Linked DNA regions of Arabidopsis thaliana. The protein of the gene in region 4 interacts with the protein of the main gene of each other region in a pairwise test. Each region holds a gene or a part of one and is shown on either strand. Other genes may lie near its edges. The genes, in order: ARR7, AHP4, RR12 and CRF2.

Region 1 (5,446 bases), on a different chromosome or scaffold from region 4:
GCATTATTTATTACGAAACCAACAAACGGAGAACACTTTTATATATATTTTAGCGTTGTTATGACTATAGTGTTTTTTCTCCTCTTGTAGCTATCGTGACTATATCATCAATAGTCCGTTTCTATTATTCAGGAACTGTTCGTTTATGTTTAAAATCAAATTATTGACTTCTAAAAAATAACTGAATACATGAAAGACTTTGGTGGTTGTGGTTCGTTTTTTTAAATTGGATTTAGGATTTTCTTTTCATAAATCTTAGGTACGGAGCAAATGGATGACTGTCTCTTGATTTGTTTATTTTATTATTCAAAATGTATGCAAAGATCTTGATAACTTGAAACATAAGACATTAAAATCTAGGTGGAAAAAAACATTTGAAAGCAAGTTTGTTCCATATATAAATTGCAATGAAAATAAGAAAATGTGAAACATATTGATGGTTTTTTCCTTTTCCTTTCAGTAATGTTCTTATCACCAATGTTTTGTTTGGCACGATCATCAAATGTTTAGACATGTGGATCAACATTGTAATAATTTTCTCTTCAAATGACTGACTCTTTTTTTTTTTTTCAAAATAATGTTTTTCGTAAGTGTTAGGTGTGAAGACCATCATGTTTTTGCTAGATTCTTGTAGATCTCAACATTGATATTTGTAGATATCTATCAAATCGTTACAAAAAGTTTGCTAGATTCTAAATTAATGCTAAGAAACCAGTTTTCTTTACAAAATGTTTTTGTCAATGTCCTCTCACAATCGGCTAAAAGATGTTACAAACTATAAAGGATCCTCCTCCACAACTTTTGAAGATTTTACTCTCTCCAGATTTTGTCCAAAAAGGACTCACAAAATCACACAATGATGGTCAACTAAAAAAAATCACTAAACAACTTAAATGAAATGATGACAAAACTATTCCCTTTTGTTGCAAAATAAAAAAAAAAACCTTTTAAATCTGCAAAGAGATCCTTATATGATATGGCTGTTGTCCTGGTATTATTTCTCCAATTTAATTTAGGAATTTCATGTTTGACACTTATTTAGGGATCGTATAATATACGTTTTTTAATTGATTTGAAACCAAATAACATGTACTATTGCCTTAGTCCTCTTGCAATTCGTTTAGAAGATGTTATGATTGAGACAAAAGGATCCACCCGCAATACTTTGTCCATATTTTTCTCTCAAGATTTTGTCCAAAAGCAAAAGAGACTCACAAATCACACACAATGGTCCACTAAACAGAGTGCCTTTATTGCATACAAAATTCAATCAATTTAATAAAGGAAACTCAACTGAAAACGATGACAATAAAAAATAAAAAATGTCCCTTTTGTCTTTAAATAAAATAATAACCCTTACTGACGTAAAGAAAATTAAATTAAGATAACCTTGTAAAATACTTCTTACCCAAATTAAAAAAGAAAAAAAAAAAGACAACAAGAGGATTAAATTGTATTAGTATCACCATCATACCATTACACATAAATAAAATTTAGTAGAGTATAAACGAATCACGTGTATAGGAAAATACAAAATACAATGTTGAAGTTAAAATGAATATAGAAGTAGATTAATTGAGCAATAACCACCGGTTTTAGATCATTGATTGATATGTAAGTAAAATGCAAAGTAGTAGCCGACTTGGCAAAGAAAAAGAAAAAAGAAGAGAGAGAGAGGTAAAACTAAAATAAAATTACTAAAAGCAGAAGGAAAGTTCCAGGTCACGAGGGAGTAGTCGCTGTCGGATTGAAAGAAACAGACCAAACAAAGATCTTTGAAATCTTAAAAAAGATTCGGTGCCCAAAGATTTTGACCTTTGAAGACACATTTGATTATTTGTGTTTTCTGACACTTCCCAAACACATAACATCAACACTTGACCCATTTTTAAGATTTTGTTTCCTCTTCAAAGATCTTACCCCGCAAGATCCGATCTTCCAAATCTCTCTCTATCTACTATACTAGTACTTATTAAACCCCACCACCTCTCCCTTCTTATTTATGTCACCTAACCTAACTTCTTCTTCTTTCATTTTATCACATTCATTTCCTTTGTCTTCAATCCAAAGCTTTCCTCTTCTTGGAACCAATCTGCTCTCTTTTTTATTCTGAGTTTGACAATGGCGGTTGGTGAGGTCATGAGGATGGAGATTCCCGCCGGTGGAGATTTGACTGTTACTACTCCGGAGTTGCATGTTCTTGCCGTCGATGATAGTATTGTGGATCGTAAAGTCATCGAGAGGTTGCTTAGAATCTCTTCTTGTAAAGGTAAAAACTCAAAACCAATCTTTTTCTGCTCTGTTTTTGTTGGTTTTAACTCTCCTCTGTTTTTCTTCTTCATTAACAAACTCTCCTCTGTTTTTTAGTTACAAGTGTCTTTTTTTTTTTGTTATTTCAGTGACGACTGTAGAGAGTGGAACTAGGGCTTTGCAGTATCTTGGCTTAGATGGAGGCAAAGGGGCTTCTAATCTTAAGGTAATTAAGAATAAATCTTCCCTCTTTTGCTATCTACTGAGAAGAACTCTTGTATATTTAGGAAAGACCGAAGGAGTGAAACCTTTGCAACTTTGGCTTTGGCTATTGCTTCTTCTTGTCTTTATGATCAAATGAGATTTAGAAATGAACTAGTCTAGTTAGTGATTTATGTGTTTTGGTATTAAGATTTGATTTTGTTTGTGATTTTCATCATAACAGGATTTGAAGGTGAATTTGATAGTGACGGATTACTCAATGCCAGGACTTTCAGGATATGATCTCCTTAAAAAGATTAAGGTAATAACAATAATAATGGATTTACCAATCTGAGAAAGACTTAAACAAAGCTTTTTTAATGCTGCTTATACAAAACTCCATTGATATGTGCAGGAATCTTCAGCATTCAGAGAAGTACCAGTAGTGATTATGTCATCTGAGAACATCTTACCTCGTATACAAGAGTAAGTACTGATTGTGTAATGTGTAGTGATACAGATGGGATCATATTTGTGTCTACACTGTGATCTAAACTTATCGACTTCTTCTTCTTGTTTTTAGATGTCTCAAAGAAGGAGCAGAGGAATTCTTGTTGAAACCGGTGAAGCTAGCAGATGTAAAGCGAATCAAACAACTTATAATGAGGAATGAAGCTGAGGAATGCAAAATCTTAAGCCATTCTAACAAGAGAAAGCTTCAAGAAGACAGTGATACATCATCATCAAGTCATGATGATACTTCTATCAAGGACTCTTCATGTTCAAAACGAATGAAATCAGAATCTGAAAACCTTTTTTCTCTACTTTGAATTATATGTATAGAGGCCAAGACCTTAGCAAAACCATTCTGTTAATATTCCTCAAGAAAGACAATGTTTGAGAGAGTCATCACACTACTCATGATGTTGCTTAAACAAAACAAAACAAAAAAGAGAAAAGAATCAAATGTTAGGTTCACACTGACTTACACCTCATGTAAATTCTTCAATGCTTGCAACTCAAGCTTAGGATGCTCTTCTCCCGGAAGTATTGGTCTATCATCAATCACGCAGGAATCGTTTTTCAGGTAAGTGAGTCTGCAAACCGCCCAAACAGGATCCGAAGACAATTGGAATTCTTCTACTTTCCACCCGGTCATTGAGTGGACACGCCCCACATCGAGATTGAAAGAATATCTTGTTTTAGTTCCCAGAACATTTTTCTCTATGTCATTATCTATGATTTGTGTAACAACACCATTGACCCTCCATGTTTTCTTCTTGCCCCTGAGGTAGAACATCAAATTCAGCTTTTCACGACGAGACGAACACTTTCTCACAAAGTAGTACCATTCACTGTCCTTGTAAAAAGGAGATCTAACATGTTCAAGAAGCCATGGCTCCATGGCATATAGCTCTCTCTCTCTCTTATGAAGCAGCTGAAGTCTGGTGAATGGGCCTTTGGAGTGAGGTACAAAGAGAGTAGCTCTTGATCAGTCGGATGAAATCGGAATCCGTAAGTAAAGACACTTGGTGGGACGTTCTGACCAGAACTCAGAGCATCATGTATCTGCTTCAACACATCCCATTTCAAGCGTGGATGTTCAAACCCGTTCAATCTAGGCTTATCTAAGTACTCATTCCCGAGGGGGTTTTTCTTAACAAAGTAATACCATTCATAGTGATTGTAACACGGATCTCTCACATGCCCAAGTACCCACGGATCCTTGTCGTACAAGTCTATGGTTTTGATAAAGCAGCTGAACTCCGGCGATTGTGTCTTCCGCATAAGGTAGTCTGTCACTTCTTCATCAGCTGGGCGAAATCGAAACCCGCGTGTTAACACCTCTGACATTTTTGCTTCTGATCCAAGAAACGAGAAACCAAATTCATCAAACTCGATCTCTAAAAACAAACAGTGATCTATTATTCTAAAAGAAAACCCAGTAAAAGAATTGGAATCATGGTAATGAATATGATTTCTTCTAGCAGTAGAAACGGTGTGAAAGTGTAACAGAGACGAATATATGCTGAAGAAGAAGAAACTTGATTATGAGAGAACGAGAACTTACATGAATCAATGATCGAAGATTTCTTCTAGCAGATTAACAGAGAGACCCAACGACGTGAAAACTTAACAGATATGAATGTTCGAAGAAGTTTCTGCAAGAACCCCAATAACGAATTGGAATCTTGGTGATGAATGCTTGAAGCAGAAACTTGGATAACAAAGAACGAGAACTTACCTGAATCAATGATCGACGATTTCTTCTAGTAGAGAACAGAGACCCAACAGATATAGAAATTCTGAAAGAAACGCGACAAAGAGTTGGATAACAGAGAGATCGACAATTTCTTCCACGAGAGAACAGACTTCAAACAAACCGTGATAATCTAACAGAGATGAACGCTCGAAGATGATAAGAAAATTGCAATCTTGGTGACGAATTTTGAATGCAGGAAGAAGAAACTCGAATATTTGATAATTAATATCAATGTTCAGTGGTTTCTTCAAGCGTTCCTCTAAAGCGATCTTGGACTCACTCTGTGTTTCTGTTTCTTGCTGCCAACGGATACGCAACAATAACAATTACAATGTGTTTAAAGATAAATCCCCCTTCGCCGACTTCACTAATACTATCATTTGTATTTTATTCAAAATTATAATTTTTTAAACATCTTCACAATTGTTAAATTAAAAGGACTGTATATCATATTTAAGACTTTTATTTCCGAAATTATATATATTTCTAGGATATGTATTTTCTCATCATCGGACTCCTAGGTATTTCAAAGACTATGTAATACATATTTGGATTTATTTTGAAAACACACATTGAAGGAAGACTTTTTAAAAAAAAAATGCATCTTTTTAATACTATTTTTCAAAAATGTCTCCTCCATAGAAACCTTTTATTGTTTTTTTACTGAAGATGATTTTTTAATAAAAATATATAATTTAAAAGATTTTCCTTTTCCCCGATTAGCTTCGCCGG
Region 2 (5,765 bases), on a different chromosome or scaffold from region 4:
ATGATTATGATTAGTCGTTATCGGCCGATTTATTTGTTATTTAACAATTTGTTTAGGATTATAGCTTTTTCGGATTGGGAGGAATCATGTTCATAATATCGCGGAGGTGTAATTATTCACGAAAGTGATAGAGGATAAAAATAAATTTGTTTAGCATATACTTTATTTAACGGGTGATAGATGATTGAAGTTACATCTTTCAAATAATTGGATATTATTGAATTTATATTAATAGTTGAGAAGAATGTTTTTAATTGAGTAATCAACACAATTAAAAGAATTAAAAATCTGTTTGTGTGTCGACATTTGAACTTTTAAGGAGTCATCTTCAATCACGAACCAGTCAACATTGTGCCCTTTATACGAAATACTTAGTTCAATTAGGTGCTAATAGCTACTTCTAATAACTTTAGTAGCACAAATTCTGGCATCATGTATATCCAACAAAAAATCTCAAGATAACTTTCCGAAGAATATCTATCATTTAAAAATAAACTTTCTCTAAACATGTATTAATCTTCCAATCATAGGAATTAATAGTGGAACAAGCTAGCCTTCTAAAGTATTACAAGACTGATTTTGTCTTGAATATGAATATAAGTTATATTACAAACTAGCCTATAGTCTAGCAATTTCCTAATAATATATGAAAACTAAATCTCTACATATTTTCTCCCTTCGAATTAATTAGTCATTTGTACCAGAGGCAGAGATGATAGTTACGAGTTCATAATAATTAAGAGTTAAGACTATATATAGCCTTAAAGCTTAGAAATATACAAAAGATCATAAGAACAAAAAATAATTTTCTTTTATAAAATTAAGATCACATATATATATAAAGGAATAATTGGATTGTGTAACACATATACAACAAAATTTAGATAAATGTCATGAATTTTGTCCTCTTTTATTAGAATTTTATCTTGTATAATACTAAAAGGTAAACATAATAACATTTGATTTAAATACAAAATTGGGGTTTATCATGTAAAACCAACCTCACAAGTTTTGGAATGAATTGTTTTGTTTCTTCTAATTTTGTGGTATTACATATTTGTTATTAGAGGGGAGGTCGGAATTAAGGAGAATAATCGAGATGAGACAGCAAGCAATAATAAAACTTAGATTCTAAACCCACTTCCACCGAAAATATGTAGTAGACAAGTCCTTTATGTGAGATTGGTTTGGTGGGCGGAGGAATAAATAAAGCTGATTTTTTTTTGTATATGATCAATCTCTCTCTCTTCTGTAATTCGATCTCACGATGCTTGTCTGAGAGAGAAAGAGATATAGAAAGGAACAAATTATGCTGTAATGATAAAAAGATCTTTTATGTCTTTGTGTCAATCATTTAGATCACACTTGTTATGTGCTCTTCAGTTTTTCCTTTTTAGATACTTGTTCCTTGTTTCCAATAACAGAAATTTATGGTTTATTTTTTACTCGTTGGATATATGTATACCTTATTCTCTCTCTCTCTCTTTTTGGTTTCCTACTTCTTTCTTTTTTTGTTACAATATAGAAGTAGGAAACACACGCATCCGCACAAGTACTAGCCTTTCCTTGGCACACAACACCCTCTCACCTCCACACATTAATGGAAGAAACTTGGAAAAGATTTGCATCTAATTTTTCAATGTTTGTTGCAGCGGTCAAAGAGAAAGAAAACACATCAAACAGAAAACCCCAATAGAAATCTATTTATTTCTGGTCTTGATCATGATACTAACCTTGACTATGTTTTTAATATAAAAATGTCGTTTAATGTTTATCACAAGATATAATCCTTACTTAGTAATTGAATTCCGGACCCCAAACTAAAATACTTCGAATTAGTATTGCTTTCTGTTGTTGAAACAAAAGATAAGCAATAATAGTGTTTGCTAGTGTGCTAGATTCCAACAATTTTTTCTTCCAAAAGTACAACTTTTTTTTGCCCATTTCGTAAATTCATATGTACATATATAGTTGAATGTTGTGGGTGTACGTAATTGGTACCATTAAAATCAGGAAATCACAACCTTAAAAATAACAAAAAAAAAAAGAAAAAAGAAAAGACAATGATATTATAGAAAACTTTGTGAAAACATGAATTAAATTCAGTAATTAATCAAGACGGAAATGGTCTGTTCAGAATATTTTTCTTGAACTGTATACTTTTTCAATCTATAACTTTCTTTTTCACTTTCAGGAAAATTCGTGTCCACATACATTTTACTAGTATATATTTGCCTCATTTCCAAAGGTGTGTTTCGTATAGTATCAACGTTTAGCTTTTAGGTTCTATATTCGAAATTTTACATGTTTCTATGATGTACGTATATATATAATATTAGTCGTATTCCCATTCGTGAGATCCTTTGATTACTTATTAATTAAGATGCATTTCAGTTATATTTTTGGGCAATAGATCAATCATCCACAGTAGTTTAAGTTTCATAATGGACCATACTATTAATTAAACAATCAACATTGAGGAATTCTCTAATTGAAATCTCTTATTCAAAACTTTAACATAAACACTATCTTATATATATAAAAGATTACTATACATTCAAACTTATATATCAACACACATATATGATCATTTGATAACACCTACCATTTGTGTTATACATATATTTTATAGAGAAGTTATAGAAAATTATACTGAGTATACATCTATGTGTCATCGAAATAAGCTGATAATAACGAATACACGTTTTCTTTTTATGTCTGGAGTAGAATACAGCATTCATGCCCTTACGTTGCAGGTTCCCATCATTTTACAAATATTCTCTTCTCTTTTCTACTTTCTCTTTTTTGATGTAATACGATCTATTTATTTATTCTATATTTCACTATATATATCTCAGATGTCCAACGTTTCAGTATTGCATTGCCACTCGAATTACCTAAGATAAAAACGAATTATCACTTTGATTTTTCGCACTTATAGTTAAATCTATTCTCAAAATTTAAACAAACATGCAGAGGCAAGTGGCACTCATCAAGCAGTCCCTCTTTGATCAGGTTTTGGTCGTTTGTTTCTTCGTATTTTCGTAATATAACTTCGTACGTCGTACCACTTATATATGAATTTCTTCATATAATTTAGAAAATGACTAATATAGGAAAATGCATGCAGGGATATCTCGACGAACAATTCATGGAGTTAGAAGAGCTCCAAGATGATGCAAACCCTAATTTTGTTGAAGAAGTTTCCGCATTATACTTCAAAGATTCAGCTCGGTTAATCAATAACATTGACCAAGCTTTGTGAGTATTATTTTGTTTTCTATTATATATATATTTTTTTTTTTTCAGTTTTCTAATCATTTTTACAATGCAGGGAAAGAGGATCATTTGATTTCAATCGGCTGGATAGTTACATGCATCAGTTTAAGGGAAGCAGCACGAGGTAATTTCCCCCCTTAGTTTTTGACTATTCTAATTACGCCTTCAAGAAATAATTTTACTTAAAGAAATGCGAATACTTAAATGTTTATAAGATAAAAGAATGTAACGCAAAAGTACATTAAAATTACTTCCATTCTCATTCAGGATTCAATGACAGAATCTACTTTAACCAGAAATAATTAGATTTTATGATCGTTAGTTATACTGACAAATGTTGCATTTCTTTTTTTTGTAGCATTGGGGCAAGTAAAGTGAAAGCTGAATGCACTACGTTTAGGGAATACTGCAGAGCTGGAAATGCGGAAGGGTACTTTCGTCTTTATACTTATATACCTTCATGCTTCTCGTTTTTAACAGAAAACTAAGTAACGGGGTCAAAATGAAAATAAGTATAGTTTAGATGGCTAAAATTGCTGCAATTAATCCGCTGAACCTTGAACTTTTACTTTACTTCATTTTCGACCCCCTAATTAGTTTTCTTCGCTTTTTCTTACTTGCAGATGCTTGAGGACTTTCCAGCAACTGAAGAAAGAACACTCAACGTTGAGAAAGAAGCTTGAACATTATTTCCAGGCGAGCCAATAATCAATTATGCTTAATAATTTACATAATTAGAATGTGATTAGAAGTTATCATCAATCACTTTTGATATAGTATTTGCTGAAGTGAAATTTTTTGTAATGAACAGTTGGCAAGGCAGGCGGGGCCTAAGGAGACAGCACGTAGGCCCAAGTAAGAGAGAAAGAGAGAGAGACAGAGATAAATGAGGAATCGTCGTCGAATTTTGTAGCAAAACTATATAATAAATAGTTCCTCTTTATTTTTATATATTTCGATGTACGTTATAAAGAAGGTTTTGGACTTTTATATTATGTCCGTTAATAAACGGTCCAAATGTCTCTATGTTTTTCCCCTTATATCGCCAAATTTTCCCTTGGGAGTTTTATAGCTACGATTACCTCGTAACATATGGCTTCCTCTAATAACGGAATACAGAAAAGAGTGGACCAAAAAAATGCATTTTTTCGATTCTATGATGAATGCATTACCTTGTTTACAAAAGGAAAAAAAAAAGAAACTAAGCTTTACATTATTCGGTTTGTTTCCAGGAACCGTGTCCAAATCCTAAATATTCTTACCTATTTTTATATCATTATGTTAATATTTGTCTCTACTAGTACTGATTAATAAATATTTAAAAAAGAAAAAAAAAACCAAAATATTCTTAGGTAAAAGTCTAAAATAACATTATCATTATGTTACTATTTGTCTCTACTAAAACTAATTATTAAAAAAAAAAGAATGCCATGGCTTAGATGCAAACTATTCTTAGCTAAAAGTCTAAAATAATAACATTATCATAAACAATTAATATTACACTTTTCCATCTAATTTCTCTTACATGCCCTATTTTTCAAACGATGTCGTTTAAGAATATCACATAGACCTTCTATTTCATGAAAAAACTAACTCACCAATGCAAATAAATAAATCAAATGTTTGTTTGTGGATAAAGTAAAACGTTTTCTTTCAATGGCCCAGCATTTACTAAAATTTATTTCAAGTTCTTCCACGTAAAGTCTACACTACATACACTCATACAGGCAGTGTAACGCTGATTCGTAGAGCTGGAGAGTATCACAACAATAAATTTCTCTTCCGAAAGAAAACAGCCTAATATTAGGGAGATATTTACATACTCTATAAGATGTTCTTTAATCTCTTATATATATTACATATGAAAGAATTAATTGTTTAATTATTATCCAAAGCGACGTGAAACCACTCTCATTTATTAGCCCTAGCTATATCTCACAACCTCCATCTTCCTTACTTTAAAAACACAGACCAGATCCTATTTATAGCATCCATGTGCGCCATTGAAAGGTAAATTTATTTAATAAAGTTTACCTATAATATCAAATTATGCAAAACACAGGCTGGTTCAGTTTTTTCCACGAATCAAAAATGGTTGGAGAAATATTGAATAAGAGAGAGAGAGAGAGAGAGAGAGATAGAGTTTCAGAGTTGACACAACATTGAAGTAAACTAAACTCCTAACCTCTTTATCTATGTGTATATATAAAACTCAAAAGTACATATAATCTTCACCATTCACACATAGTCACATACCAAAGCAAAAACATGGATCGTTGCACGTCGTCGTTTTTGCTTCTCACATTGGTCTCTACCTTGTCCATTCTCCAAATCTCCTTTGCTCAACTTGTTCCAGCAATCATGACATTCGGTGACTCTGTAGTTGATGTCGGCAACAACAACTATCTTCCGACCCTTTTCAGAGCTGATTATCCTCCTTATGGCCGTGATTTCGCTAACCACAAAGCCACCGGTCGTTTCTGCAA
Region 3 (7,126 bases), on a different chromosome or scaffold from region 4:
CAATCAATCTGATTACTTGTAATTAAAGTATGGTCTTGTAATATTAATTTCCAAAGGTGTGATTTTATAAAATTCAAATTTAAGGCGATAACAAAACTTTTGAGCTTACTTTATCCATTGAGAGGCAAGTTTTCCTACGCAACAACAGTTGACACGGAAGTATTAGAACACAAAAATAGTAAATTCAAAGGATTCTTCTATCAAAATATAAGCTTCCAACTCAAAACTAATTGGTAATGAGTGAAGAACGTTATATCTTATAAATATTACTTAAGATTATACTAACTTCTAATATGTGACAATATCTCTAATACGATCCTTCTAAATGATGGCTTTTCTATCCATTAGTCTTGATATGTTTGGGCATAGATTAGTGGACCGATGTGGATTGGGTTGACTATATGCAGATCGGACACTGATACCATATTAGATTATGGGCTTCCAACTCAAAATCAATCGGGAATGAGTAAAGAGACTTATATCTTATATATAACTGCTTAAGTTCCTACTAAACTTTCAACGTGGGACGATATCTCTAATATCGATCAATTCAATAATTTCAACCATGCCGAAAGCTAAGACGATTATGAGAAAAAAATTGTTTTCTTATACGCCGAGCTGGAAAAATGATCCACGACAGTCTATCATTTCTATGCCAAATTATAGTGAAAAATAAAGTCAAGATGTAATTAAGAGACATAGTGTTTATATTTTTGGAAAAAGATCAAAAGGATGCTAAAATTTGAATACCAGATACCGTTACGATTTGGATATCAGTGGAGTCCGAGTGCAATTGTCAGTTTACTATCTTTTGTACCATATATTTTAGAGCGTTTTTCTTAACGTTATCATATATTTCGATAGCGTTTTTCTAAGAATAATGATATAGTCGATTTTAAGAGTATGTACAAAAAACATAGGCTACTTTATGGTTTCTACAATTGATTTGCTAAGTCAATTTTATCATTTGCTTGTACATCAGTGCATGAAAGGAGAAAAGGGAAAAACAGTAAACAGATATGTATTATCTACATGAATGGACATATCTTAGACCTCGTGAAGTACCTTAAAAACTTATAGGAGAAAGAGGGTTACTACTTACTACCTCATCTAGACCTCGATTACGCGATCAAAGCAATACTGGATATCAGATAGATGTGGTCTTATCTATCAAAATTGTTTAGTCCGTTTTCGAGTTTGGGACAAATCTCCTTAGAAACCAGCTAGAATGGCTTAATCTATATATAAGATAATAATAAGTTTAACACCAAGACTTGCCGAAGTTAAGTTACATGTAATGCTACGAGATTCTCTGATACATATGTTATAAAGTGAAGTTAAAACACTTTTCTCAAGAAACACACTTACATAAAAATTAGTCACGAAGGTAAACAAGTGCTAAAAAAAATGAAGGGTCTTCTCCAACAAGAAAGACCGTTTTAACACTACTACTTGGGGTTCGTAAATTAATACAAAATCCTGGAATAAAACCATTTATCATCTTATATCCAACCAAACAAATTAATATAAACACTGTTAAAAAATAAGAAATGAAATTTAAATTAATGATAGAAATAATCGAATTAGGTGTTTTGATTTTTTTTTCTGTGACTACAATATATTTAAAACCCAAAATTTTACAAAAATCGTTTTAGTAAATCGGTTTAAATCTGAAACAAATGCTAAGGAAAGTATTTAACAGTGATTGACATTATGGAAATAATTTAATTTTTTTTGTCCGTTTAACAGTTGGACAATACTAGATTAACAAGAATCAAAATGTATCTCCACAATAATGATGCGATATAAATGATAGTATAAACCAAAATCTTTTTACTTAAACACTTTCCTATCTCTAACATAATTACTTTTTAATTTCCCCCATTCAAATAACACCTAAGTATTATTTTACCTGGTTTTTACTTTTTAACACAATTTAATTGCAAACAAGTAGTGTGTTTTATTAGTTTAAACTTTAAAGTCTTTAGACTAGAGAGAGGAAGTGGCAATAATACTAATCCGGTTCAGTCACTAAACCAGTGTACAATATATGGTTGGTCCTACAAATGATAATTTTTGATAAACCTAAAAAAAATGGTGTATTATATATCACCTGAGGATAGGGATACAAGTTTCTTTTAGGGTGGAAATCCTTATATATAAGTGTAGGGACTACTCACCAAAATCAAACAACTCACTTCAATTTGTAACGGTTTAAACTCGGTACAATATGCGGATTTTGATTCGGTATAATGACATTAAAACACCACTTTAACAAAAACCACTAGACAAATATTAGTCATTTCGGTTCAGTTTCGTTTAAAAATTACGAATTTTCGTATAATTGAGTTTATTATTCCGTTTGGTTTAAAAGAAACCATACAAAACAAAACAAACCAAACTAAACCAAATTGGTTATGTTTCAAAGATTCTTTCTAAGTCTCTCAATAAAATGTTATTTGTTTTGTAATGTAAAGAAAAAAAAAAGAATTGCAGAAAAAGAGTGGATAGTGTTAAGAAGATGATCACACACAATTTCCATAGCCATTTATAGATAGCTAGAAGAGCTAAAGAAGATTCCTTTTTTTAACTCTGCTGGAAAAATCTTTTTGTCTCTCTCTCTAAATCTAAATATTATATACTACTACTCTCTCTCTCTAGACCCCATTCACATATTTAATCTTTAACTCATTTCTCCATCGACGTTCTTGCACATCCCACTTTCTCTCTTTCTTCAACTTGCAAAAAAGATTAAAAATCCAATCTTTCGTTTCTGGGTCTGTTGAAAAACGATGACTGTTGAACAAAATTTAGAAGCTTTGGATCAGTTTCCTGTAGGAATGAGAGTTCTTGCTGTTGATGATGACCAAACTTGTCTCAAAATCCTTGAATCTCTCCTTCGTCACTGCCAATACCATGGTTCCTCTCTCTCTCTCTCTCTCTCTCTCTCTCTCTCTGTTTTCTTGGATCTGTTTTTCATCAAGTTTTTAGATTTTATGTCTCTTTGATCTGTGATTTGATCCACATATGGTGGAATCTTTTGATATCTATCTACCTAACTTCTTGTATACACAAATCTAAAAAAAACTTAGCTTTTTTTATTCCATTGTTAGATTTTGTAAGATTTGACATTTGTCAGAGAGAAAGTTTCATTGTTGAATTGAATTAAAAGTTTAAGACTTTATGGAATCTGTTGCAGTAACAACGACGAACCAAGCACAAAAGGCTTTAGAGTTATTGAGAGAGAACAAGAACAAGTTTGATCTGGTTATTAGTGATGTTGACATGCCTGACATGGATGGTTTCAAACTCCTTGAGCTTGTTGGTCTTGAAATGGACCTACCTGTCATAAGTAAGTCTTATTATTATTATTATTTTCTAATTAAACTTTTGTCATTTATTTCCTTAATGACTCACTACAGGAATAAAGTTTTGATCTCTAGACTTGGTTTTGTGATGATGATTTTCTTGTTGTTGCAGTGTTGTCTGCGCATAGTGATCCAAAGTATGTGATGAAGGGAGTTACTCATGGTGCTTGTGATTATCTACTGAAGCCGGTTCGTATTGAGGAGTTGAAGAACATATGGCAACATGTCGTGAGAAGTAGATTTGATAAGAACCGTGGGAGTAATAATAATGGTGATAAGAGAGATGGATCAGGTAATGAAGGTGTTGGGAATTCTGATCAGAACAATGGGAAAGGTAATAGAAAACGTAAAGATCAGTATAATGAAGATGAGGATGAGGATAGAGATGATAATGATGATTCGTGTGCTCAAAAGAAGCAACGTGTTGTTTGGACTGTTGAGCTGCATAAGAAATTTGTTGCAGCTGTTAACCAATTGGGATATGAGAGTAAGCTTATCAATATGTCACTTGATATGAGAGTAAGCTTATCAGTATGTCACTTAAGTTCTGTTTTGTGTGTGTTGTTTTGATTGCAGAGGCTATGCCTAAAAAGATTTTGGATCTGATGAATGTTGAGAAGCTCACTAGAGAAAATGTGGCCAGTCATCTTCAGGTTACAAAGAATCTTTCATGTTTTTAACTTGCGTAACCCGAAGATTTGTTTTTTAACACCTCGGAAGCTTATGACTTTGTTCGCTGTGGTTTGCAGAAATTCCGCCTTTACTTGAAGAGGATCAGTGGTGTGGCTAATCAGCAAGCTATTATGGCAAACTCTGAGTTACATTTTATGCAAATGAATGGACTTGATGGTTTCCATCACCGCCCAATCCCTGTTGGATCTGGTCAGTACCATGGTGGGGCTCCTGCAATGAGATCTTTCCCTCCAAACGGGATTCTTGGCAGACTCAATACTCCTTCGGGGATCGGTGTCCGCAGCCTTTCTTCTCCTCCTGCAGGAATGTTCTTGCAAAACCAGACCGATATCGGAAAGTTTCACCATGTCTCATCACTTCCTCTTAACCACAGTGATGGAGGAAACATACTTCAAGGGTTGCCAATGCCTTTAGAGTTCGACCAGCTTCAGACAAACAACAACAAAAGTAGAAACATGAACAGTAACAAGAGCATTGCTGGGACCTCCATGGCTTTTCCTAGCTTCTCTACGCAACAAAACTCGCTCATCAGTGCTCCTAATAACAATGTCGTGGTTCTAGAAGGTCACCCACAAGCAACTCCTCCAGGCTTCCCAGGACACCAGATCAATAAACGTTTGGAGCATTGGTCAAATGCTGTATCCTCTTCGACTCACCCTCCTCCCCCGGCACATAACAGTAATAGTATCAATCATCAGTTCGATGTCTCTCCATTACCGCATTCTAGACCCGACCCCTTGGAATGGAACAATGTGTCATCAAGCTACTCTATACCATTCTGTGACTCTGCCAATACATTGAGTTCTCCAGCCTTGGATACAACAAATCCCCGAGCTTTCTGTAGAAACACGGACTTCGATTCAAACACAAATGTGCAACCTGGAGTCTTTTATGGTCCATCCACGGATGCTATGGCTCTGTTGAGTAGTAGTAACCCGAAAGAAGGGTTCGTCGTAGGCCAACAGAAGTTACAGAGTGGTGGATTCATGGTTGCAGATGCTGGTTCCTTAGATGATATAGTCAACTCCACGATGAAGCAGGTGTGACATTAAAGCTTTTGCCAATATTAACCATTCTGATTTGGAGATTATTGTGATTTCTGACATGAAGATTTTGTGAATGTGACAGGAACAGAGCCAGGGAGATTTGTCTGGAGGAGATTTGGGATATGGAGGGTTTAGTTCACTCAGAACATGCATATGAGAGAACAAACATTTAGACATAAATCAAATATCATCATCTTGTTTGTCTCTTTTTCTCGCTAATCTTTTGTGTATTAAAATTGTAAACTATTTGTTTTCCCACTGGTTCTAGCAATTTAGGACTCCATTAAAGAAAACAACAAAGAAAAAAGGATTCATAAATAAACTTTCTTACTTTTTTATTTTAATGTATAGTTGTCCCTTTTGTGTATGAAACCAAAATTCACGGGCCTATGAAGAAACAACCCTATAGAAAAAGTCTATGAAGAAAAAGTGATGATGACGAATTTTAAAGCAACAAAGATTCCTTCGTACACTCGAAACCATTATGTTAAAGTCAACCCAAATTTGTATTATAACATTCTTGTGTTTGTATCTTACATTATTTAGTTCAGTTTTTGAGTTTGATTGAGAATAGTAGTTAGATTGAAACAGACGACGTCTAACCGGAAACATAACCGGACTTCATCGAACCTATTCACACACTGTTAAAAAGCTTGAGGTGCATAACCAAACAGCTTTGATTGAGAAACTATAATTTCATGATTTTCCAAAAATAGGAAAACATGAAGAATATCAAAGTTAGCCTAAAATGTTACCAATGTTTGCATAAGCAGAAGATAGGTCTTACAAAAGGAAGAATAAGTCTCATACATGTAACCAAAGATAATACAACAGTTCCTACTTCATGACCCCTTGGGTCTTGAATCTTGATTTACCAGTTGAGTCAATCAACGACCATGTTCTTTGGCTTCTCTTCTTCTTTGGCTTCTTCCATTTTTACATCAACACTTCCACTAGCTTCAGCAATGTTCTCCTCTCCCTCCACCACATTCAGATCGACGACGCCACCTCTTAACGGTTTTGTTTCTTCGGCCGTGTCCTTCATCTCAACATTGTTTAGGTCTGGCTTGGTGTCGTCTTCATGTGACTTGGATTGATCAGATGTAATCGAAAGGATTGTGTTAATGTTACCATTGATAGATTTGAGTGCACGGAAGCTCTCATTCACCTTGGTACTCGGTGGTTGGTTGTTTACATATGCTTGGACTGATTCCCGAGCGTTCTCATCAAGAAGTTTGCACATCTGAATAACCGGAGAGATATTAGTGTGATATACTAGTTCTAGACATTAGCCTACCACCAAAGGAAAAAAGCATAGCTTACCTGGTTATAATGTTGAGCTATTTCGACCCGCGCTTGGTTGTTGTCAACAGCAGCCCCCATAATTTCTTCTGAAGCTGCAGCGAGATTCAGAGAGCTCACATTAGAATCAACAACTCGTTAAATAAAGAAACTTGTGATGGAACTTACTGATAGGATCAGTCTTAGGAAGTCCATCAAGCATTTCATCATCAACCTCAATAAAGCTCACTCCCACTGTGTCAGCGATCTTTGGTTCAGCTTCTGGTTCTTCAGTAGGGATAGATGATGAGCCACCAAGTCCCTGCAACCAGAGATTCAATCAAAGTTAAACAATTCAGCGCAAAACATGTGAGTAAGTACCAACACTGCAGATGGTACAACATACATAATATTCCTCTGCGTATTCATAATTCATCGCCTTCTCCAAAAGCAGAACTCGCTTTTTCACAAACTCAACAAGTCGTCTCTGCATGTCCCGATAATAGAACATCGAGTTTACTTGAGCCCCATCAGCAGAAGCATTATTGTTCCCAGTAATAACGCTTCCAGGATTCTGGTTAGTCTGTGCTCCCGGATTAGAGCCCCCACTACCATTCTGCCCCTGCAAACCAGCTTGTTCAGCAGCAGACAAACTTATGTGAGGGAAATTCAATTCTTTGCAGATAAGCTCTTGGATCCCCAACTCTTTGTCATCAACAATAGCTTGCCACCGTCCGT
Region 4 (6,177 bases):
AATAATATCTAACACTTCATATATGTTTCCATTATACGTGATGATATTTAAACAGTTTTCCTACAAAAATAAAATAAATGATGTTTCGGTTTTGAATATACGGCAGGTTTAATTATTTCGTTATATGAAAATGATAATCCTAAGCGGCGTGGTCTAACCCACACATTTCTCTTGCGATCCAGTGAAAAAAAAATAAAAGTTTCGATTATCACGTAAAATTTACATTGTGAAATATATCGAGTTTCTATGAACTTATCGTTGTCTCAAGAACTGATGATTAATGATTGTGTAATGATTATTATTTCGTGGACCAACAAATTTTTCATTATCTTAATAATTAGTGCCTATTATTATACTGATTTATTTCCGGAAACGAAATTTTATTTGTTTCGAAATGAGACATATGAAAATAATGTTATGGGATTCCTGAATTACGTGGCTCGAAGTAAATTTTGCTCATCTAGGGTTTGATGCTTAATTATACTGTAGTGATTTAGAATAATCTATTTCACATTTTTCACTCAGCTCTATTGTCTGAGAAATTTTATACCACATTTATTACAACTATATATATTTATCAACTTAAATCTAAAATCTATACATCAATGTTGTCCGGAATATAACATATACATAATACATGATGAATTATAGTATTATACTATAGTTGTTTGTTATGCATGTATTATTCAAAGATTCGAAATTAGTGATACTATATATATGTACATCAGTACATGGTCGAGAGTTTGTTAGATGATATTCACTGCAAATCTACACTAAATATTCATGTGAAAATAATTTTACAAAACGCAGGTAGAGTGTTACATGTTAAACGAGTACGCTTAAACTAGTGCGTACATTGCAGAGTAAAGAAGTTGGACAAAAACTGCATAGCATAAAGGAAGCAAATAAAAAATGAAGGGAAAGACAAGACATAACAAACGGGTACATGGTTCACATACCCTGCGATCAGATTGTTTCGTTCTTTGGTAATGTAGCATGGGCTTCCAATATCTTCTCTATGCAAATTATATTATTATATCAGTACGTTTTTAAACATTTCTGTAATCAAAACTCAAAAATAATAATTCAATATATATGAAAACTAGTTGTACGAAATACAAAGTGTTACCCGATCGTGTCAAAATCAAAAACATTTCAATCATGATTAGGAAACTTAACTCAACCATACGTTACATAGGAAAGTAGATGCTGCATAGTTGACCATTGGTCAAAGTGTTTAACACTTTTAAAGATTTTTAACTTAATAGAGAAAGTAAATTTTTATTCTCTAATTAATTAGAAATGCCAAATATGCTTGTCTTTAAAAATTGTCAGTAAATTAAAGTCACTCTGTTATTATACATTTTATAGTCACATAAAATCTGCAAGCAAATAACAGAAAATTATCAAGTACTCCTAATCATAATTAAGAAGTAGTAATACAATGATTCCAAAAAAAATTACTGTACTTTTTTTTAATGTGTGTGTGTGGCGCAACGTCCTAGATTGTTGTCTGCCACGTTAGCCAGCACCAGCTGTAATAACTAAAAAGTGGCAAGGTTATGACTGGTAAAGGTTAAAACAGTAAAGAACTACGAGCCGTAACGGTCTCTTGTCTTTCTTCTTTTTCACAACGCAACTTGCTTAGGTGAAAGTACGATACTATCCCTGTGGTGAAAAAGAGAACTTCGCACGGAGGTTATGAGATTAATCACCTGCTGTTAATTATAAATTATTGGTTCTGGTCAAAAGTAAGACTGGACCGTGTCTCCGGTGTCACGTGACCTGAATCTCCAATTACGAGGAAATTTTAAAAAATGATTATAGAAGTAATTAGTATTAGTAATACATATGTTTTTCTCTTTGTCAGCTGCCCCATGGAAAGGCACGTCCCAGCCGTTGGATTGGACCCAATTCTGTAATTACACGTGTCGATATCTCAATCGTTTGACTTATGCGGCATTTTGGTTTTGCCAAGCTCGTTTTTTCCGGCTATAATTAGTTTTTGCTAAAAATCAGTCAAAAATTAAGATTTCATTCTAATTTTAAAAAGACAAATTTCCTTGGTCGGCACTAATATCTAATTATCGACCATTAATGTCATGATTCTTATTTGCGTTACAATAATTACTGTCGACACTTGTTGTAGTTCTTAGTTTTTGTTTTTTATCTAGTTTTGTCTCTAAATTTCAATTTCAATTAAGTGTACATTTGGACTGTAACAAGCATAGTTTTGACAATTGTCTTTCATTCATTTCATCATTTGACATCACCAATGAAAAGTTAAAAATCTCTTAACACTAATTATGAAATGTCTTTCATATTCTTGTACATATATATAAAACACTAAACTCAAAGTGTTTAGCAAATAAAAAAGAATTTAGATACAAATGAATCTTGTCCACCTCCCTTAAACAGAAAGAAATATCTTTGTCAAAAGTTTTTTTTATAAGATATTCGAAAATTAAATTAAATACCAAAAAAGAAAGAAAGGAGTAAACACTAATAATATGAGACGTTTCAAAGATCCTATAAAATAGTCACTCTCTACCATTACATGTGCTCTGCCGCTTTTAAATCTCTCATCTTCTTCCTCGTGTCACTCTTTCTCTCACACTCTGCAAAAACATTTTCTTGTCTCTCCTCTGCCCAAATTTTTTTTCTTTCCAGGAATATTTCCTAGAAAAACCCAAGCAAAGCTTTAACCCCTTCCTCCTCCAAAAGTAGCATCTTCCTCTTTTTCTATTTCTCCTTTCCTCTTCTTATCTCTCTCTCGTTTGTGAACGATTCCTTAAGAATATAACCAAAAGCCCTTTTCTCCTTTCTTCAACTTTCCGGGAAAAATCTTCACGCAGCAAGGTTTCTCTCTCGGCTCTCGCAGTGTTTTTCGTGCCTTTTGTTCTTTCTATAAAAAAAAAATTCGCGTCCTTTAAGAAAACTTTTTCCACCTAGAGAAGAAGAAGAGTATCACTCTTGTTGTTCAAGTTTCTCTCTTTAATAAAAAATCCATCTTTATTCTTTGTCTTCTTTCCTTTTTGCTTTCCCTAATCTCTATGTTATAAACACACAGAGAGAAACAAAGTCACAGTCTCGAGTCAAAAACAGAGAATACGAAAGAAAAATGGAAGCGGAGAAGAAAATGGTTCTACCGAGAATCAAATTCACAGAGCACAAAACCAACACGACAACAATCGTATCGGAGTTAACCAACACTCACCAAACCAGGATTCTTCGTATCTCAGTCACTGACCCAGACGCTACTGATTCCTCCAGTGACGACGAAGAAGAAGAACATCAACGCTTTGTCTCTAAACGCCGTCGTGTTAAGAAGTTTGTCAACGAAGTCTATCTCGATTCCGGTGCTGTTGTTACTGGTAGTTGTGGTCAAATGGAGTCGAAGAAGAGACAAAAGAGAGCGGTTAAATCGGAGTCTACTGTTTCTCCGGTTGTTTCAGCGACGACGACTACGACGGGAGAGAAGAAGTTCCGAGGAGTGAGACAGCGTCCATGGGGAAAATGGGCGGCGGAGATAAGAGATCCGTTGAAACGTGTACGGCTCTGGTTAGGTACTTACAACACGGCGGAAGAAGCTGCTATGGTTTACGATAACGCCGCTATTCAGCTTCGTGGTCCCGACGCTCTGACTAATTTCTCAGTCACTCCGACAACAGCGACGGAGAAGAAAGCCCCACCACCGTCTCCGGTGAAGAAGAAGAAGAAGAAAAACAACAAAAGCAAAAAATCCGTTACTGCTTCTTCCTCCATCAGCAGAAGCAGCAGCAACGATTGTCTCTGCTCTCCGGTGTCTGTTCTCCGATCTCCTTTCGCCGTCGACGAATTCTCCGGCATTTCTTCATCACCAGTCGCGGCCGTTGTAGTCAAGGAAGAGCCATCCATGACAACGGTATCTGAAACTTTCTCTGATTTCTCGGCGCCCTTGTTCTCAGATGATGACGTGTTCGATTTCCGGAGCTCAGTGGTTCCCGACTATCTCGGCGGCGATTTATTTGGGGAAGATCTATTCACGGCGGATATGTGTACGGATATGAACTTCGGATTCGATTTCGGATCCGGATTATCCAGCTGGCACATGGAGGACCATTTTCAAGATATCGGGGATCTATTCGGGTCGGATCCTCTTTTAGCTGTTTAATAATATTTTAAATAAATAAATAGTTATACCGGCCGTTACTAAACGGAACCGGAGAAAGTTTTGTATACCGGTGACATAAAATCTCGGTTATGTTCGTAATCTTTTTTTCTTTGTTATATATAAAAATATGAATGAAACTGAATTAATGTAAGTTAATGGTGATAATTATTAACGTTTTAAGTTTTGAAAAATAATTTTCGTCTGTTAACGATAATGGGAGGTCGAGTTTCTTTTTGCTTCCACGTGCTCTGCTCTCTTTATCTCTTTTTAAAAATTTTGGTCGACTGAAAAATTCCTTTATTTGATATAAAAATTCGTTTTTATGTTGTTGTTGTTGGTAGAGGCACGTGTGATCTCACGTGATGAGAACAATTGAAAAGCTTTTGCATCTAGTTTTTGTTTTCTTAAGGCTAATCATATCATTTTCGAAAGGCTAATAATAATTTATTGTTACACGATTACAAGCTAATAATCCAAAGTCCAAAAACTAGTTTCTTGAAATAAAAATAGTGTGATATGCCAGGTAGATTGAGACTAGATACGAAGAAGGAGAATCTAAGTTGATTTGAAATATGGCACATCATAAAACTATATTTTGGCAGTTTATACAAAAATTCAGAAGAAAATGAGTAAAATATAAAAATCTCATGAGGATTAAATGAAAGAAGCAGTTGGGGTAGTTGATTGTCTAGAGCACTTGAATCTCACTCTGTTTTAACAGTTTCTATAATAGTACGATGTAACTATGGTTGTATTGTTATGCACGCATAAATCAACTTTAGTTTTATGGTTTTATACTAAGCCATATTGTGTAAATCTAATCGTCCTGAATAATTAGAGTATGTTCATAATTGTTTTTTGTCCTTTTATTGTTTCATTGTTATTTAGGAATAGGGATGTTACGATGGGTCAAGCTGGTCCATGCCTTGGTTTGGTTCGATCTGGTTCTTGATTGATTTTGGCCAGCGGATACCAAGTGAACCATCAATTGCAAAATGTTACTACCTGTCTATGTCAATATCTCTGTTCAGGCTCGGGCCAGCTTGCTTTTGCATGATTTTGGTCCACCACACCATGGTCTTATTTAAGGGTTGATAGAGCTTGTATGATCAGTACCTTTAAGGTGTGATTCTCGAAGAATTGTTGAGATGATTTACTTTCTTTCATGCATTGCTGCTTGGTTTGCTTATTTGTTTTTTTCAATTAGTTATCTCAAAAATATCTCTAAAATTTATAACCTTGTGAGAAGCTAAGGTTATTGTCTCACGAAGCAAGCAGTGTTCGACCTAGATGGATGGTAATCGTTTCTATCTTGTGGCTCTATTCCAATGGTTTACTATTTTTCCTAAATACCACTTTGTTTTCAATCCGAAATTTATACCACGTTACAAAAAAAACTTTCATAGAGACTTAGAGAGTGTGTTGTTTGATAAACCTTTCGTGTATTTTTTTTTTTTTTTTAATTATTATTTTAAAACTCTACGTAAACAATTTTAATCGCCATTTCTGAGAAAACTCAAAAGCAATAACCGATGTAATTGATAAAATAAAAATAAAAAATAACATTAAAAAGATTGAAAATACAGAGGAGATGCAGGGAAAAGAGCTGACGACACGTAGGCTAGAGCCGCAACTACTCGAGAAAGAGCATTGTCGTGTCGCTTTCGTTAAATACTACTGTACTATCTTTTTCTCTGCCCGTAAGGTTGGTTCAGAGGCTACTACATTTCTCAGGCCTTTTTTTTTTGGTTCTATATAAAACGTGAACTTAATTTCATGAGAAATTAAATATTTCCGACAATCTCAAAAATTACCCATGCAACTTGCTGATTATAATATTTTACGAGGAAGAAAATAGATATCGAAATGCTTTCAAACATTAATTACGTACACAATTCAATGACGTACGGCTATTATAAGAATCTAGATGCATAACTATATAGTAATATGTAGATACGAAAAAATGCGAAGTATTTAATACTTTGGGCCCCTCTTCCCAAAATGTTCATGTGAATTTCGTGATT

Evidence for each region.
Region 1: the proteins of CRF2 (region 4) and ARR7 interact in a protein complementation assay, tested with the Arabidopsis thaliana proteins (one study listed by BioGRID).
Region 2: the proteins of CRF2 (region 4) and AHP4 interact in a protein complementation assay, tested with the Arabidopsis thaliana proteins (one study listed by BioGRID).
Region 3: the proteins of CRF2 (region 4) and RR12 interact in a protein complementation assay, tested with the Arabidopsis thaliana proteins (one study listed by BioGRID).

Annotation. Positions count from the first base shown.
Region 1 is NC_003070.9:6,575,754-6,581,199, reverse strand, and holds ARR7 (response regulator 7), read left to right. Parts: upstream 1-1,885; 5' UTR 1,886-2,121; coding exon 2,122-2,269; intron 2,270-2,399; coding exon 2,400-2,476; intron 2,477-2,695; coding exon 2,696-2,773; intron 2,774-2,866; coding exon 2,867-2,937; intron 2,938-3,034; coding exon 3,035-3,281; 3' UTR 3,282-3,367; downstream 3,368-5,446. Other genes in the region: AT1G19040 (NAC (No Apical Meristem) domain transcriptional regulator superfamily protein), read right to left, coding at 3,787-4,305. UniProt on the Arabidopsis thaliana protein: Functions as a response regulator involved in His-to-Asp phosphorelay signal transduction system. Phosphorylation of the Asp residue in the receiver domain activates the ability of the protein to promote the transcription of target genes.
Region 2 is NC_003074.8:5,551,381-5,557,145, forward strand, and holds AHP4 (HPT phosphotransmitter 4), read left to right. Parts: upstream 1-2,816; 5' UTR 2,817-2,970; coding exon 2,971-3,015; intron 3,016-3,093; exon of another isoform or gene 3,094-3,103; coding exon of another isoform or gene 3,104-3,130; coding exon 3,131-3,261; intron 3,262-3,334; coding exon 3,335-3,403; intron 3,404-3,637; coding exon 3,638-3,709; intron 3,710-3,902; coding exon 3,903-3,975; coding exon of another isoform or gene 3,976-3,987; exon of another isoform or gene 3,988-4,013; intron 4,014-4,090; coding exon 4,091-4,138; 3' UTR 4,139-4,409; downstream 4,410-5,765. Other genes in the region: AT3G16370 (GDSL-like Lipase/Acylhydrolase superfamily protein), read left to right, coding at 5,548-5,765. UniProt on the Arabidopsis thaliana protein: Functions as a two-component phosphorelay mediator between cytokinin sensor histidine kinases and response regulators (B-type ARRs). Plays an important role in propagating cytokinin signal transduction through the multistep His-to-Asp phosphorelay.
Region 3 is NC_003071.7:10,722,628-10,729,753, reverse strand, and holds RR12 (response regulator 12), read left to right. Parts: upstream 1-2,481; 5' UTR 2,482-2,792; coding exon 2,793-2,919; intron 2,920-3,199; coding exon 3,200-3,352; intron 3,353-3,480; coding exon 3,481-3,855; intron 3,856-3,944; coding exon 3,945-4,021; intron 4,022-4,117; coding exon 4,118-5,101; intron 5,102-5,189; coding exon 5,190-5,264; 3' UTR 5,265-5,453; downstream 5,454-7,126. Other genes in the region: PKL (chromatin remodeling factor CHD3 (PICKLE)), read right to left, coding at 5,991-6,350, 6,431-6,504, 6,578-6,710, 6,795-7,126. UniProt on the Arabidopsis thaliana protein: Transcriptional activator that binds specifically to the DNA sequence 5'-[AG]GATT-3'. Functions as a response regulator involved in His-to-Asp phosphorelay signal transduction system.
Region 4 is NC_003075.7:12,373,630-12,379,806, forward strand, and holds CRF2 (cytokinin response factor 2), read left to right. Parts: upstream 1-2,492; 5' UTR 2,493-3,121; coding exon 3,122-4,153; 3' UTR 4,154-4,403; downstream 4,404-6,177.